Linked DNA regions of Arabidopsis thaliana. The main gene of each other region encodes a partner of the protein of the gene in region 2 in a complex. Each region holds a gene or a part of one and is shown on either strand. Other genes may lie near its edges.

The links. The genes of interacting proteins can lie anywhere in the genome.
Region 1: RPL21C (region 2) and RPL4 share a complex: the UniProt entries of both Arabidopsis thaliana proteins name them as parts of the 50S ribosomal subunit.
Region 3: RPL21C (region 2) and AT5G65220 share a complex: the UniProt entries of both Arabidopsis thaliana proteins name them as parts of the 50S ribosomal subunit.

The regions. Positions count from the first base shown.
Region 1 is NC_003070.9:2,246,363-2,251,986, reverse strand, and holds RPL4 (ribosomal protein L4), read right to left. Parts: upstream 3,021-5,624; 5' UTR 2,798-3,020; coding exon 1,966-2,797; coding exon of another isoform or gene 1,961-1,965; exon of another isoform or gene 1,815-1,960; coding exon 1,798-1,814; 3' UTR 1,458-1,797; downstream 1-1,457. Other genes in the region: AT1G07330 (dentin sialophosphoprotein), read right to left, coding at 1-856; AT1G07310 (Calcium-dependent lipid-binding (CaLB domain) family protein), read left to right, coding at 3,154-4,212; AT1G07300 (josephin protein-like protein), read left to right, coding at 4,982-5,171. UniProt on the Arabidopsis thaliana protein: This protein binds directly and specifically to 23S rRNA. May play a role in plastid transcriptional regulation.
Region 2 is NC_003070.9:13,205,905-13,211,703, reverse strand, and holds RPL21C (Ribosomal protein L21), read right to left. Parts: upstream 3,022-5,799; 5' UTR 2,928-3,021; coding exon 2,613-2,927; intron 2,303-2,612; coding exon 2,222-2,302; intron 1,989-2,221; coding exon 1,887-1,988; intron 1,779-1,886; coding exon 1,704-1,778; intron 1,548-1,703; coding exon 1,458-1,547; 3' UTR 1,276-1,457; downstream 1-1,275. Other genes in the region: CDPK2 (calcium-dependent protein kinase 2), read right to left, coding at 3,646-3,786, 3,872-4,096, 4,180-4,347, 4,419-4,534, 4,633-4,785, 4,875-5,018, 5,708-5,799. UniProt on the Arabidopsis thaliana protein: This protein binds to 23S ribosomal RNA in the presence of protein L20.
Region 3 is NC_003076.8:26,058,558-26,064,139, reverse strand, and holds AT5G65220 (Ribosomal L29 family protein), read right to left. Parts: upstream 2,976-5,582; 5' UTR 2,840-2,975; coding exon 2,501-2,839; intron 1,817-2,500; coding exon 1,634-1,816; 3' UTR 1,458-1,633; downstream 1-1,457. Other genes in the region: AT5G65225 (uncharacterized protein), read right to left, coding at 1,206-1,210; TGA1 (bZIP transcription factor family protein), read right to left, coding at 3,391-3,543, 3,618-3,845, 3,934-4,205, 4,288-4,351, 4,440-4,517, 4,602-4,661, 4,746-4,826, 4,939-5,109.

The DNA of each region.
Region 1 (5,624 bases), about 11 Mb from region 2:
AGTTCCGTCCAACACAGACTGGAGGAACTTCCATATCCATTAAGCTACTCTCAGCGGCAAGTCGGACTAATCTCCTCATTCTTCTTCTAGTAATCAAATGCTCTAACCTCTTGTTACGTTCCATCTCAGAGTTTCCTAAATCCATCAAATTCTTTTGATCATCCTCTGTCCAAGCTACAATCTTTTTGTCTTCACGTGTAGTTTCTTCTTCTTCTTCGCCTTCTGATGACGATGAACACTCGATCTCGGTTTCGCCACCACCACTAGTCAACCTCTCCGATGGATCCACAACGGAAACATTCCCGGTGGTTGAAAGAGTTTCTTCATCTAAGCTAGGCTCAAAGGAGAAACCTTCAGACACAAGAAAGGCTCCATCTTTCTTGAATTTCTGAAGTTTGGGAGATTTTGCAGTATTGGGAATTTCACCATAGAGAGTTGTTAAAATGACTCTGTCTCTCTCATCTTCACTAGCCTGAGAAGAGTCCCAATCTTTCCCAACCTCTTCAACTTTCCTTCTAGCGTTTCGTCGAACACTTCGTTGGTGCTTTAAGTCAGCCTTCCTTGTTTCTTCCTCCTCAGATCTCTTTTGGGAAAATGGTGAAAACCAATTATCCGTTTTGATATGCAAAAGCTTAAAACTTGGATGATTCCGAAGATAAAACACAGAGCATGCGATTAACGGAGAAGAGTAAAGGACGAAATAAAAAAGGCGTGGAAGAAAAATGTATAGGAGGAAGATAATTGCAGAAACACCAGAAACAACTGGGTGATTCCTTACGTTTCTATAAACGATGTTCGTGGAAAATCTGAGAATTTTCCAGAACAGAGTTCCGACATCTTTGGCATCGATTCCCATGTTTTAAACAGTTCAAATTCTCAGAACACTTTGAGAGATAATAACCCAAAGCATTCTGTCTATGGCGGTTTGTGTTTTGTCCTAGAGAATCAAAATGCTTGAAAGGGAAAAACAAATATGGTTTAATTGAAGAAGCGAAAATTGATCAATAAGAGAGAGGTCAAGCTTTCATTTGAAACAATAACCAGTCAATAAAAAATAGATTTTTCAAGGGTTTTTTTAGATTTTCGTTTTGGTTCTTTTTCAGTTTTCAGAACACACGGTAAGGACGGAGAAGACAAAATAGAAAACTGGTAAGAGAGGGCGGGAGTTAAATTAGTTGCTTTCTTACACATGTTTCCAAAGATTCTTGTTTTCTTACACTTTTAACCACATTTTTTACTGGTTCAGAAATTGACCCTTAAAGTTCATGGATTTTGCATCTCATATCTCTTTCTTCAAAAGATTGGGCTATCTTCTTAAGCCCACCAAGACCCATCAAATGTCTGTAAATAACATACACTATTGACACTTCCTAAGTTTTCTAGCTAATCCTTTTTTTTAGCAAGTTGTTAACAGATTTGTGTGAGACTATTCATGATTTTCAAAACCAAGATGAACATCAACGCTTAAAGCTTATAATAGCCACTCTTTCTTGTTAACTTGATGACTAAAGTCAATCTTTGTTGCTCAATCTTAACTGATACACACACAATCAACGTTACTCATGATATCTAATTTCACTCCTTACTCCTTCATTGAGAGTTGGACACAAAATCAGTATGACAAGAAATTGAGGATGATCTCTTAAGAAAAACTCTAAAAGTAAATACACATTTCTCTTGTTGTGACACAAAAAGGAAAGAGAAGACCTCATCAAGGAGAGTGAGAAGATGTACTCAAGATTAAACTCATAATTAAGCCACACTTGAAGCAATTGGAACTACGGGTGCTACTCATTCTTAAGCTTCCTCTGACCCTTCATAACACAAACAAATAATTACTTTTCCATATTAACACATCATATTTCTACCTCTTCAAGAAATTAAAACCAGACAAAAACGATCAAACACAACATTCAAAACATCAAATTTCGACAACAAGCCAGTTCCTTTCAAGAAAACACTAACCTTCCGTCTCATCTTCATCGTCATCTTCTTCCTCCACCGCATCAACACCGTACCTCGCATTCAAGAACTCCACAGCCGCAGGAGTCAGAACAAGCTTATCAGCGTTCAAAATATCAAACAGATTCAGTGTCCTAGGCGTCAACATCCTCAAGGTTCCAATGTTCCTACTCGATTTCGCCACATTCTCATCCACATCAATCATCAAGAACATAGCTTTCTCCTTGGGATCCAATCCCCACCTTTGCATCGCAGCTAAGAAATCTTTAGTCTTGGGCTTCTCAAACTTCTCCCCAAATTCCTCCACCACTATCGCACCACCTTCCGCAGATGCCGCACTCGATAACGCCGTAGATATCGCTAGCTTCTTCTCCTTCCTATTGATTTTAATTGACCAATCCTTAGGTCTTGGCCCAAACACCACACCTCCACCGGGACGTAACGGTGTTCTCTGAGATCCACGCCTCGCGTGGCCAGTTTTCTTCTGTGAGTAAGGTTTAATTCCACCACCACGAACTTCACCGCGAGTCAGTGTGGAAGCAGTACCTCGCCGCTTGTTATTCAGGTCCGTCACGATGGCTCGGTGCACAACGGCACGCGCGGTATCCTCCGGCGCCGCTTTGAGGTCTAGATACGTCTCTCCGACCTTCTCTCCTTCGAATGATAGAATCGGTAGAGTCGCTAGCTGGGAAGAGACAGAAAGCGGCTTCGAGACTCTGCCGGAGCCGAGTTTTGAAACGGAAATGTAGGTTTTAGGGATTTGGTGAGAGGAGGATAAAAAGAGAGAAGATGAGAAGAAAGATAGCGAATTTGGTGCTGTTGCAGAAGAAGCCATTGTTGTTCCCTGACCTGACCTATCACAACGAAGAAGAAGAAGAAAGACTGAGAAAGTGTTATCCACTCTTCAAATGCCTATCTTGTGCTTGGTGAGAATTTATGCATCTGTTTGGACATAAGGATATAACTATCCTGTTCATGAATAACTCCAGCTGTCGCTAGTAAGAAAGAGTCAAACTCCAAAAGTCAAAAGCCTCTTATATAGCCAGCAGGTTTTTTGAGACATAAAACTCTGTGATAAAACGATGATAGTTGATGATAGCTGAGACTTTGATACAGATATTTGAGATACGAGCGCACGTTAGCTAAGACCACCGCGTAAGCCACCGTCTCGTCTTGAAACGCACCGTATTCATGACTTCGTCGGAGCCACTCGACCTGGTTGTCACCGTCGTCTCTGCCAAGCACCTGAAGAATGTCAACTGGCGTAACGGTGACCTGAAACCCTACGTTGTTCTGTATCTTGACCAAGACCACCCTCTCTCCACCCGCTCCGATGATTCCTCCTCCATCAAACCGGTGTGGAACGAGCGGATTACTCTTCCTCTCACCCGATCTGTCCACGAATCGGTCCTCAACATCGAGGTTTTTCATTCCAATTCTTCGGATCTGGCGAAAACCCTCGTCGGATCGGTTAGGTTTCCTCTAGCTCGTTTGATTGACTCGGACGGGTCAATGATTCCGGAATTGATCAACTCGCTCGAGCTGGTTCGTCCATCGGGTCGACCACAGGGGAAGATTCGTTTGAAGCTCGCGATCAAAGACAGACCAATCCCTCCACCGCAGCATCCTCCGCCACGTCCTCAATCTCAACCACTAGATTACTATTCTGCCCCTCAAGGAAACCATTATTACTCCCCTAGCCCTCCTCCTCCTCCTCCTCCTCAAGCACCGATCACCGCTCCATCTCCTCAGCGTGACTACAGAGAATTCTCACAGTCACCGTCTCCGTCTCCTTACGCATTCACTGATCACTACTATTCCGGGTATTATTATCCGCCTCCTCCACCACGTTCAATGTACGATCGTGCCTCCAATTACGGCCTCCCAAGTGGCCCATCTGCTCCCGTTGATGCCTTCTCATCGATTGATCACAAGCAGCCTCCTTTAGCTCCTCCTCGGTTTTCTAACTACGGTCCACCGCCTAGTGGGCCCTCAGCACCCGTTGATGCCTTTCTGGTTACCGAGTACAAGCCACAAGCTCCACCTATGGGCTCGCGATTGTCTAGCTACGGAGTGCCTAATGGTCCATCGGCACCAGTCGATTACTCTCCTTATGATCACAGGCAGTTGCAGAAGACGATGGGTGGATTGAGCTTAGAGGAAGAGAGAGCTGCTGCAGAGAGGTCTGAGAGTGATTTCGGAGCTAGGCCAAACTACAGCTATGGCCGTGATTATCGCCGTGAATGTTGAGGATGGCAAAAAGTTGTTGAATTTCACAAGTGTGCGGCGTTTCTAAGGCTTTACTTATCATCAGATTTGTTGGTGTTAGAACACCAGGAAATGGCTGATGACAAAATATGAATTTGGTGAAGTATATGTTATGTCTATATGTATGTCTCGTTTGTGAATTGATTTGTTGCTTCTTTCTAGCTGATATTCGGTGTTACCCCTTCTGTACCTTTGTACATGTTTCTAAAACATCTCTCATTTCTTTCCTTCATTCAGTTTCTTGAATCAAGCTATTGGGTTCTTAGGGTTAATGTTCTAATGTGAATCACTTTACTGTTGATTTATTGTTTGAACCATGCTCTGATTAGGTATGGTAGTATGCTCTGTCTCAGACATGAACAGTCCTATATCCTGCGATTCTGCCGAATATTTTTGCAGGCTGGTTAAAGACTTTGGTTCTTATTTCATGTTTGATGATACCAATGTGTGATTTTCGTTTGGAACCAGTGATCTCCATATTCATTGAGCGTTTGGATTAATGTGTCTTGAATCATGCTCATCACAGTGCAGAAAAGATGTTCTCTCTGATCGTTTTGGGTAAAATGGTATGTACACGGTTGGTGCTAAGTCTATTGTGCTCTTGTTATAACGATGAGACAGAGCAGTTTTGCTATTGCATTCTTTTCCCTTTTGGCATTTTGGTAACCTGCTATACATATCAGTCAATCTCATGCTATTTGCATCTAATCACTGACAATCATGCAGGTATTATTGTTCTGTTCTCAATGGAATGTTTTCACATGTAAAATCACTCTATTCTCCAGATTGTGTGATCTTCTATTTATGTCCTGACACTCCCTGGTTTATTATATGCTTTCTCATATTCTTGTACCCACCATTAACTTGTTTTTTTGTTCTTTCCTTGATCCCTCCTTTTTATTGTAGCCGCAGACTCATGAAAGGAATCTGCATCCATAAAGGTAAGATTATATTGGCCTCTCCTGGAGTCAAAAAGAAACTTTTTTAGATTGTTATGTAACTTATGTGCACACATGAGTGATCATCAAAGAAGAATGATACCAAATGGTTGCTTAACCTTTTTCTTCACTTAAACAAAGGGTTTATTCCCTCTGTGGACCGTAAAGAAAAATAGAAAAAACTAAACCTAGTCTTCTCTTTTTGCTCTTGGGCATAGTTCTCTTTATAAATTTGTAGATCCACTTTAACTACAAGTCTTTTTATATATAGGGTCTAAAATAAGATTGAAGTTACACTTTTTTGTTAGTTGTTTATTTGTTTATGTCTTGAGTGCTTAATCATGGCCTAAGCGTAATGATGTTATAGATAATATACATCATTAATCATTTCATGTCTTTTCCCGTATTTGCCTGAACTATCAGCACAACTGTTCTCAGCACCAGTCCGTTAAATAT
Region 2 (5,799 bases):
GTAATAACGCACCATAAAAAAACATGTATATATTAGTTAAGAAAACTATTTTAAGCCAAATACGTTCATTTTAACAAAAAAAAATATTATATAACAAACACGTAATAACGCACCATAAAAATACACTCCCGATATAATGTGCTTATAATAAACAGATTTTCTTAATTAAACAAGATTAAACCAAACAAATACAAATATAATATCAAAAATAAATAGATATAAAAAGTAAGATGATAAATTCAAAATATAACTTGATTATTTAAATATAGATGATATAGAATTAAAAAAATAATATAATTTCTAACGTAAATAATCAACCCGTGGTATACCGCGGGTCAATATCTAGTTAGTAATAGATAAATTTAGCATTTAGTTGCTTTTAAAGAAATTTAAATAAATTTCTGTAAAAATTAATTAAAAATAGTAGCCAGCATGGAAATTTTTTCATATTTTCATTTGCCAACTGGCTGATAAAAAAGGTTCTGTTAATAAAATTAAGCTGTTTATTTATTTTACTATTTAATAATCATTTCTCAGATTTTAAACCTAGTCTATATAATAACATTATTTTGAAGACTAATATTATATTTAAAAGGACAAGAAAAATATCGAAAATATTATGAAATCTCTGAAATTTAAGTTAGAAAGTAAACTGGAATCTCATAAACTAAATGAATATATATTTTACTCTATTTTAAAGCATATATTTTTAATAGTCAAGTAGTCATTATTTAGTTATTTATAAATTATCTTAACCTATATATTTTTGGTAAAGGGTTTTGTTGCACCAAACTTAAAAAAAAAAAGGTTTGCAAAACTAGTAAACCAAACTCGGACCTAATCAACCACAAGAGTAAGAAAGCAAAAAATTACAACCCAACATGTATATAGCCTTCACATGTTGTGCCACTGAAGTGAAAAGTTACAACCCAACATGTATACAACCAAACTAATAATCGGAGACAATCTATCTTTTGCATATATATAATAAAAAAAACTCATTTCTCAATTCCTCATCAGAAAATCACCATAATACATCTCACACTATTGGTGCACATAATGTCTTTTACTAGAAAATCGCAACAACATATCAAAATTTTGTCAAAAACATATCAAAAAACACCATAATGTCTTTCATGTGTTTGTGCCTTTGCGGACGGAAAAATGTTATGGACGGTCCCGTCCATTTTCAAAATCTCAATATCAATTTCTGTATTTCTGTATTGTGTCCACTGAAGTGGTAGAAGTTGTTTTATTCTATAAAATTCATTAGTATGCGTAGATTGATGGATGAGCTATATTGAAGTTTTCATACACTAACTTAGAATTTGTGATCAAAGAATGGCAAAAGGTACATATTAATAAAAGGAATCTCAGCAGAAATGAAATGACCAGGGTCCTTACAAAATTACATAGAGAAGATCAGAAAAATTTTAACATTCAAGAAACATTTTGTGTCAAAGATTTACTTCTCCAACTGCAACATTGGGCGAGGCTGGATACTCTTCATACCCTGTGATTCCGGTAATCCTAATCCTCGTATTCGGCTACAATATCAACACATAAGTCACAACATAAGTGTCATTACTTCAAAGAGATTTCAGTTTCATCAGCCATAGCAAATTACAACAAGTAACTGATAGTAGTCTGTTGATTGTAACATTACATAGTTCAAATATAAGGAAGAGGACTTTCAGCAATACCTGTCTGTGACCGATATTTCTACGGTACTTCTTCTTAGGCTTGTACTTGAAGACTACCACTTTATCATTCAAACCCTACAACAACAAATGACATTCCGGTTATTCCAAGTTTAGAGGCGACTACATAGTCGAAAATACAAAACCACCAATCAGAAATTTAAGAAATCGTTTGTATTGACTTACTTGACTTTCCACAACAGCATGTACAGTGGCATTGGTCACAACCGGCTTGCCAATGTAAGTGTGTGTCTTTGTTCCAACAAGCAACACTTTGTTGAGAACAATCTGCACAAGAGAAAAAACAAAATATGAAAACTTCAGGAATCACCAAAAATGCAACAGAGAACAGCTTAACACAATGTTAACATAGGCAAAAGAATAGAACTTCTACACAAGCCACAAAGTTTACTCAATCTTCCATAGTTACATCATCTTTTCACAGATATACCATTTCGTACACAGAGTTTTTTACAAAGAAGAACACATCACATAGTCATTGAAAGCAAATGTGCATATACCTGGTCATCAACATTTGCATCTTTTAGCCTCTGAGTGTAGAGATATCTCCCTGGAAACACTATGTATTGGCGTCCACCAACCTATTCAAACCAAAGAGAACAACACTAAGCTAAATCAGAGATTGCAAATGAGAGAAACAAAATCAATTATAACAAAGCCAAACTCTAAACCTTGAAGAGTATATGCCACAAAAACACAATCTCTCCCTTAAGAAGTCAACATTCGTTAAACCTAAACCCTAAATCTTAAGAGTAGATACCACAAAAACACAGTCTCTCATTATCAAAACTCTAAAATCAAATTCATCAATCAACCAAACCTAATTCCGAATTCCAAAAGCTAAACACCGAAATTGAGAATTTGTTGTTTCGTATGATTCAACAAGCTCACCATAATAACAGCGAAAATCTCTTCTCGTTTAGCTTTTTCCTCAGTAACCTCCGAAACATCGGAAACCACCACAGCTTCGATATCGGTAGTCTCCGGTTCAGCTTCGACGACTGATTCCGCGAATTTCGGAGCGACGGTGAATGCGGTTCGAGACGTCGACGCAGTGGAAGGAGAAAGAAATCCAGTCAGAGGTTTAGCCAAATTAAGCGAAGGTTTAGAGAGAGAACAGAGGATAGTGCTAGAACGGCGAGAATTGACATTGCAATGAGCAGAGAAAGTAGAGCAGAGAGAGAGCGTCGCTGAAGAAGACGCCATTGTTTTCGACTGAGAGAGAGCTCTAAGCTCGAGACTTTGGAGCTCGACGGAGAATAAATCCGCAGTGTTATCCTATCCACTTCCTTTGAAAATTACCATTGTACCCCTGTCTTCAAATTGGTTTAATTTCTAAGCTTGCAATTTCGGTTTACCGGTTTATTTCGGTTCAGATTTTGGGTTTTCCAATTAAGTAATATATTATATACACATCAATTTTGGTTTTGTTCGATTTTTGACAAAAATTATAATTCTAACTACTCTTAATCTCTTTATAGTGTTTAGTGTATTTAAATGTACTTTATATTTAATTAGTTATATTAATTCTGAATATTGGTTAATTACAAATTCACCAAATTTGGTTTCAATTTGAGATTTGGTCTGGGTTGTTATAAGAATTTAGATTTGGTTTGGGTTGTTATAAGAATTTTCTACAGTTTCACAGTTTGTATTATAACAAAATTACTTATGAAATCCGATTTTGGTTCGGTTCGGTTTCTTTTCGCCATCCCTAAATCACATTTCTTTGGAATTCAAAAACTTTTATATGAAGCAAAAATTATCCATATGAGGATAAAAATTTAGAAAGTTGCTCATGTACAAAAATAAAAAGGAAAGCAAAAAACAAGCCAGAATATATTTTTGTATCCTTAGAAATTAGAATTCAAAATATAAACGAAATTAAAGAGAAAAAAAACAGAAATTGTGGAAGAATGATGAGTCAGTCATCAGATTTTTCACCATCAACTCCAAAAGCATCAGCAATGTTGAAGTTCAAGTTCTTCATCATGGTTCTGCTTCTCCCAACTCCATCTCCTTTCCTCATCATTGCTGTAAACTCCGAGAAATCGATCTTCCCGTCCTACATAATTCAAAAGCTCTCGGTTATAGTAAAGTAACATTGAAGAAGGAGGTAAACAAAGAGAAGAAGAAGAAGAGTGGTTTACATTGTCAAGATCAATCTCCTTGATCATGTCGTCCAGAGGTGTATCACATAGACCAAACTCTGTGCAAGCTGACTGAAGCTCATCGATGGTGATATAACCGCTTCCGTCTTTGTCAAAGTACGAAAATGCAGCCACCAGATTCTCCTCTCTCTCCATCTTGTTCATGTGTAAGGTTGCTGCTAGGAATTCTCCGTAGTCTATTGTACCACTGTTGTCGATATCAGCCTGTGACCACAACACACAGAGGATGTTAAACGGAAACAAAAGTTTTTGAAAAGAGGAAAGAGTTTGTTTTGGTTCTTTCATACCGCATCCATGAGAGACTTGATTTCTGATTCCATCAGTTCAGATCCGACTCTCTTCAAACCCGCTTTGAGCTCTTCAAAAGTAATCGTTCCGCTGTTGTCTGTGTCTATCATCTTGAACAATTCCTTCAGACCTCCAATTTCTTCCTCTGAAAGTCTCTCAGCAATTACCTGTGTTCAGAGAAATCAGCATACGGATTGGACATAAAGAAAAAGCGAATGTATATTACTCGAATTCATACCCGTAATGCCATTTTCTTAATCTTATTCATTTGAGAAAACTGCTTTAGACGAGATAAGACTGCTGGATCAAGAGGCTTGTCTGGTGCTGCTTGTTCATCGACAATCCATGGGTGACCTATATAACATTCAGAGCAAACTCAATACTCATTATTTACCATAAAAACAATTCACAACAGTTGCTAATTCCAAATGAACAACAAAGAATGAACATACACAAGGCTTCATGAGCAGAAATGCGTTTCTTGGGGCTCCTTTCGAGCATTTTATAGATCAAATCTTTAGCAGCTTCTGAGATAGTAGGCCACGGGTCAGATTTGAAATCTAACTTCCCTTGCAATATCTGTCTAAAGATTCCAGACTCAGTCTCTGCAATGCCCAAGAGAAAAGAATACATCATTCAAACAAAAACTCGAAACTTGTAAATAGAAAAGACTCTACTTTTTTAGTAGACTAACCTGCCCAGAAGGGAGGAACACCGCTGAGTAAAATGTAGAGGATAACACCAGCACTCCACACATCTATTTCAGGTCCATAACATTTCTTTAGCACCTCTGGTGCAACATAGTACGGACTTCCAACTACGTCATATAAATATTGTCCTGAAGAAGCAAACAAAAACCAATTAGCCGATAAACTGGCATTAATGAGAAGGTTCAAGCCAGACACACAAATGCAGAATAATTTCGATCTACACATTAAGTTTCAGAGACTCCTCAATGACGAACATCTATACACATTAATTTCGATCAATACAATGTTCCCTCTAAGAAGGTAACAAATTTGAATCCAACCAAACAGATCATCAAACCTATACATACCGAAAACCTTATTTCGATTTGCAATCCATATAAAACACAACAAACCTGTTTCTATCAAGAAACCACTTTGTTTCAATTTTCGATTCATAGAAAACACAAATAACCTGATTCTACAAGAAACCAAACCAAAGACTTAATCAAATGCAGAATAGTTCCAATCCACACATTCAAAGACTCCTCAATGAGTAACAACTAACCAAAGCAAGCTCCCTAACTACACCTTATAGACATTGTCCTGAAGAGTAAACTAAAACCAATTAGGCGATGAACCACCAACAATAAGGTTTCAAAGAATCACAGATACAAGCCAAAATACACAAATGCAGAATCATTCCAATCAACACATAAACTTTCAAAGACTCAATGAAGATACAAAGCAAAATTCCCTTAAGCAACGAAAAAATCATCATCAAACCAAAACACCAATTGCAAGATTAATGAATCAATCAACCAAAAGAGAAAAATCAAACCTGGCTTATAGAAGACAGACAAACCAAAATCGGTAGCCTTAAGCTTAGCATCATCTTTAGGACTATCAAACAAGAAATTCTCAGGTTTGAGA
Region 3 (5,582 bases), on a different chromosome or scaffold from region 2:
GAGTATGGACTTTTCACGAAAGCAGAAGACCAAGACAAACATGGAGGAAGCTTTTTGCATGAAAAGCAAGTCACATGTTGTGATCCAGAAGTACCAAAGATCTTTGCATGAACACTATACGTAAGACACTTACATAATAAAATAATCGTGTCAAAAGCATCATAGAAAGCTGTGCAAAGCACATGACTGGAGTTGGTAAGACAGGTCTTCAGAAAAATAGTTACAAATAAAACATACAAAGCTATTCATATGCAAATCTCATAAATCACCTTTAGATATGCAATTTTTGTCTCAAGTCTCTTGTACTTAACATAACACCGCATAGCTCACAAATCTACGCTGAAAAGTTGACGACTTTTGGTCAGTTTAAAATGCAGGATAAGTGTAAACTGATGTATGTGAACAGCACAATGCAGCTGTCAAACTCAACTTCAGATAAACTTTGCACTAAAAAAAAAACACAGTTTTGACCATTAGTCATTTAAAATAGTTGTGGGCAGATAGATCTTTTGACTTAATTGTAATATAAGGTATTAGGTGAATCATCGTGGTCCGATCATTGCTATATCAACAGTTTTGTTATCCAACTACAATGGTAATGAGAAATCAACATGTGAAAATCTACTACTGCTAGTTAACAAGAGCATCGATCTCAAATCAAAAACATTAAATTAACAACCATCTCAGTATCTCACAGGTTTGTTGGCTTCCAGAAATGACTACATACCTGTCAAGAACTCATATATAGCAGCCTCGATAGCAAACTACTAGTAAACGAAACATGACTTCTTATTGAACTATGTTTATATCAGTCGTATTCAAACTTTTAAGAAAAGAAAAAACAAAGAGAAGAAACTACTAATTTGAGATTATTTTATCACTAGTCCCCACTTCTGAAAGAAGATTTCAACACCACTGAGTCAGAAAAATTATTGGCCAGATCTTCAATATACTAATAAGAAAAGGACAAAAATAGTAAAACAAAAACCAAACCCATTGTTGGTTGACTAACAAAAAAAACTAACAATGAAGTCTCAATGAGATTTACCAAGATGAGATTTTTCTACTACATTCGATTGCATAAACGGATTTTATTTTGAAAGTGAATCGCTGAAATCTAGGGTTTCATGCCCAAACAAGAAACATCATCGGAAACATAATCGTATTAGTTGAATCCTTAAAATCTGTAAGAAATATCACTTTACCTCATAGACTCGCCGGAAAAAAAATCCAAACCCAGCCGGAATCTACCACCGAATACCTCATCTACGCACACAAAGACAGAAACTTTAACGCACCATTCTATTTCTAAGCCCACCATTGATTCCTCAATAAATTCCTAATTTTCCCGCCAATGTTTTGGATTTTTCCTTTTATTTATTTATCTTTATTCTTATTTGATGTTTTTCGAACTTCGAATGATTACTAGTTTCTTTGTCAGATTGGATGATAATTCTGATGAAACATGAAGGAACGATTTCAATCTTTAAGGGATTCATGTAAACTACTTGATAAGGAAAGTGTTTACACCAAAAGAAAAACAAATACAAGATGGTTCAGCAACAAATAACAGAGATTAACAACATCTCGAGGAAACAACAAGGAAGAGACCATAAATCAATAGCGGGTTTTTTCAAGCAGATTTAGCAGCTTCAGCTGCTTCTTCTGCAGCTTCTTCTTCTTGAAGTTTCTTCAGAGACGGAGGTGGTCTTGGTACTATGCTTTTCTTCCATTGTCTGTCAAGTTTCCTCGACAACCTTTTCTTTATCCCTTCTTTGATCTCCCTCTCTCTTTTAACCGTCAACATCCGAGCAACCTAAATCACCCACAACCAAAAGATCACATCTTCAGTACCAGAAAAGAGACGGACGTAAGCCAAAAAAACCAAGAAATCTCTACTTGAATTTAGTGTCATCTCCAGCTAAGTTGGGTGGATTAGTCACTTAGAGCTCAAGATTCATGTCTGATTGAAATCCCAGCAATCAGTAAAACCAAAGCAAGTAAATTCTCATCTAAAGCTAGTTTGGTGCATTGGCACACTTAAAAGACTAAACAAACGATATCGCAAAGCTCAACATTCATGTCTAACTGAAACCGTAGTATCCTAAGAACATATTCGAAGCTTGTGTGCAAGAATCTATAAAAGGGGATGGATTGAACTCAATATTAAATCTCTAATTCCATTCCACCACCTACCAAAAACAGTATTAGATATCACAAAACAGTAACTTACAATGTTGCCATTGTTAGAGTTTAGAATCAACTATAATGTGTAGAACAAACAACACAAAACATTGCTTATAGAGTTCGCTAACATCTTCTACAACTTCATATTAAATAATCCTATTTTCCATGGTGATGATTTCAATGTTTCCATCAATAAACCACATATCCCAATTTTGTTAAACCCTTTCAAAGACTGCCAAAATCGACCAGATAACACAAAGTAGATTTCACAATTTGGAATAATTCTGCATTAAAGAGTAAGAAAAAAGCTTACTTGTTTCTTCATACGACGAAAGTCGCTAGATTTGAACTCATTCCTTGCCGATTTCTGGAGACGAAGCATAAAGAGCTCACCTTTAAGGTCAACAACCTCCTCTTGTAACTGCTCCGTCGTCTTCGATCTTATCTCTTTCAATTCCGCCTCTCTTTTCGACATCATCACCACCGACGGTTTAGGAGACGACGACGATATCGTCGCCGCCGCGGGGACGCGAGCAGAAACCTGGTGCTGGATTCTGACACCATGGAATGAAGACGAAGTTGAAGTCGCCGAAGCAGTTCCTCTACGAAAAATCGCCGCCGTCCCCGGCGTAGCGATTGAGAGACTAAGCATTGTAGCTATGGCGGAGGAAGAAGAAGAAGAGCAGAGTTCTCACTCTCGAGCGATTTTGAGGATAATGAAGAGAAGAAACTCTATGAGATAAGGCTTTTCTTATATCTTACTATTTGCCCCTTTATTTACCTCTAATTACGAAACTGGTCCAAACGTATCAAAAAAAATCAAATAGGTGTCACACAAAACGTAAAATTAAGTAAAGCCCCTATAGTTTTCAAATTGCAGATAGCTCGACATTATTACAGGGGATTTGGAACCAAGTTTATATAATTCTGAAATTGTTTACAAATCAAACAAACATTCGAAAAACTTGCCTCTTTCAAAAGCTAAAAAGTACAAATTTTTGCACCCCCACCTTTTTCTGATATTTACAACTTATCAATACATGATGTTTTTCAAATTTTCTAATTCCGCCGCAGAGTAAAAATAAATATCAGCAGCAACCCCTCTATTTATTCAGAGTAGTCCTCTGTTTTCAGATGCACTCATTCTTCATTTTTTGAGGTCTTTCCATTTTCTTCATTTGGTTGTTACAAAATAACTCAAACCTACGTTGGTTCACGATGTCGAGTTGCCCAACTTGAGCTCAAGGCTCTAAGCCGTTGAAAATACTCACCAAGAGCTAATAATCCTCGAGCCGCTTGTCGCGTTGTCAATATCCGATACATTTGTTGCAATGTTTCATGTCTCAAGTGATCAGCCTAAGAATGAACAAACAAAATCAAGAAACTGATACTATAGTATTTTCAAATGAGTTTGAATATATATATTTTACCTGATTTACGAAACTGACCAAAGCTTCTAATCTATCCATAGCAGAATTCACCTGAGGAATGTAACTTCCTTCACCGAGTTGTCCCGCTGCAACGCAGTCCGCAAGGGTGTGTTGCAGCTTCTCCATACCTTGAGTCAACGCGTCTTCTGCTTGCTGACACGATTGTTTTAGATTGCATACATCTAGAAGTTGTTGATCCGTCAAGACATCAAAATGTGGCAAAAGAACCTACAAAAAAAAACATTTGAAACATTGTAATCTTGCTTGTTTCCTTCTATTCATTAAACATTACGCTAGATTGTTATTTGTTTTATACCTTGAGAAGATCGGAGGGTCGAAATCCGCCAATCCATAAGAAGAATCGTTCTGCTGAAGTTCTCCACATCCCTGACATGACGAAGAAGACATCGGCTTTGGCAGCAGACGATTTCATCCGGAAAAGCTCAAAGTAATGTTTCATGGCGTTTTCGACTAGCGAACGAAGCTCGATATCGTTAATGTGTCCGTGTAAAACTGTTCTTAGTTCACATATCTGTCTGTTCTGTTCTTCAACCCAATGTCCATATTCCATTTCAAATGCAGCAATCCCTGCAAATCAAATAAGCTTCCACCAATCAAAATCTTGAATTCTATATTTTTTCCAAAAGACTCATTGTTCTTGATTCAAAACCTGGATTCATGGTTTCCGAAAAACCGAGAGAATTAGTATCTATTCCGTTTCCTACATAGAATCCCTGAAAACATTCATATTCAATCAGAAATTGCATTATATTTTGGAACTCGAAAGAAAGCGAATATATATTTAGATTTCATTTCATTAACCTGTTGTCTAGCACGATCGAGTTCTTGCTCTAATTGAATTAGCTTCAACCTGCTTGTTTCCAGTTGCTGAACATAAGCCTGCAAAAAAAAAAAACAATCAAATCTCTCAACTCATTAGGCAAACAGAAACAGTTTACCAAGGGGAAGAAAATGAAGTCATACCTTCTTGCGCAAGCGACTTTTCCTAGCAGCCTCGCGGTTTTGAGCAAGCCGTCTTTGTATCTGTAACGATATAACGATTTAGTCTATATGATGCGTAGAAATTTATGATTAAGAAACTGATAGAGAAGTATTTGAATAGCTAACCTTATCGGGATGTCTAGACGTTGAAGCTTCTTGATCGAACATGTGAGGAGTTCCTGCTGTTCCATGGGAAGTATCCTCTGACTATAAAAAAAAAAAAAAGATTGTCAAGAAATGAAAGCTAGTTTAAATTTCTGAAAACAGACCAAACAAATTTATCATCAGGAGGTTGAAGAGCAATGAAGTAAAAAAGTACCACGTTGTTGTCTAGTTTCTGATTATTCGGTATTATTATGTGGTTTGGTGTGTTCATAGTCCCATTGCTAATATTGCTTTTGAAACTCTCCCCCCACATACCGAATTGATGGACAGGTTCGTATATACCAACTCTTCTCGGTGGCACAAAATGTGTCGATGTCGAATTCATGTTTTCCTCAACTGAAAACAAAGAACAAATTGTTTAAACAATGTGACAAAGCATTCAAAATCAAGCAGATCAAGACATTCCAAAGAACAAAAGATGAGCATTAGTTTTCAACCAAAAGTTAGATCACACAAAGTCAAACAAGCATAACACGTAAAGCAAATAGTGAACTTTTGATGTTTCTTCGCCAAATTCTTCGAAGAAAACAGGACAAAATCATCTTTAAATTCCAGAGACTTTATACAAAGAAAGAAACCAGAGGGGACACGGAGATTCCCTAAGACCTTGGAGAGCACCAAAAGATCACAACTGAAACATATATTGTAATGACAGGCTAAAAGAACTTAAGGCTAAAAGAACTTAAAGGATTTAACTTCAAATCACCCATTTCATCAACACAAACTCCTCACCATCCGCCTTCAAATCTAAAACCTTAAACCTACACCGGAAAAAAGAGAAGAAGCCATTTCCCCAAT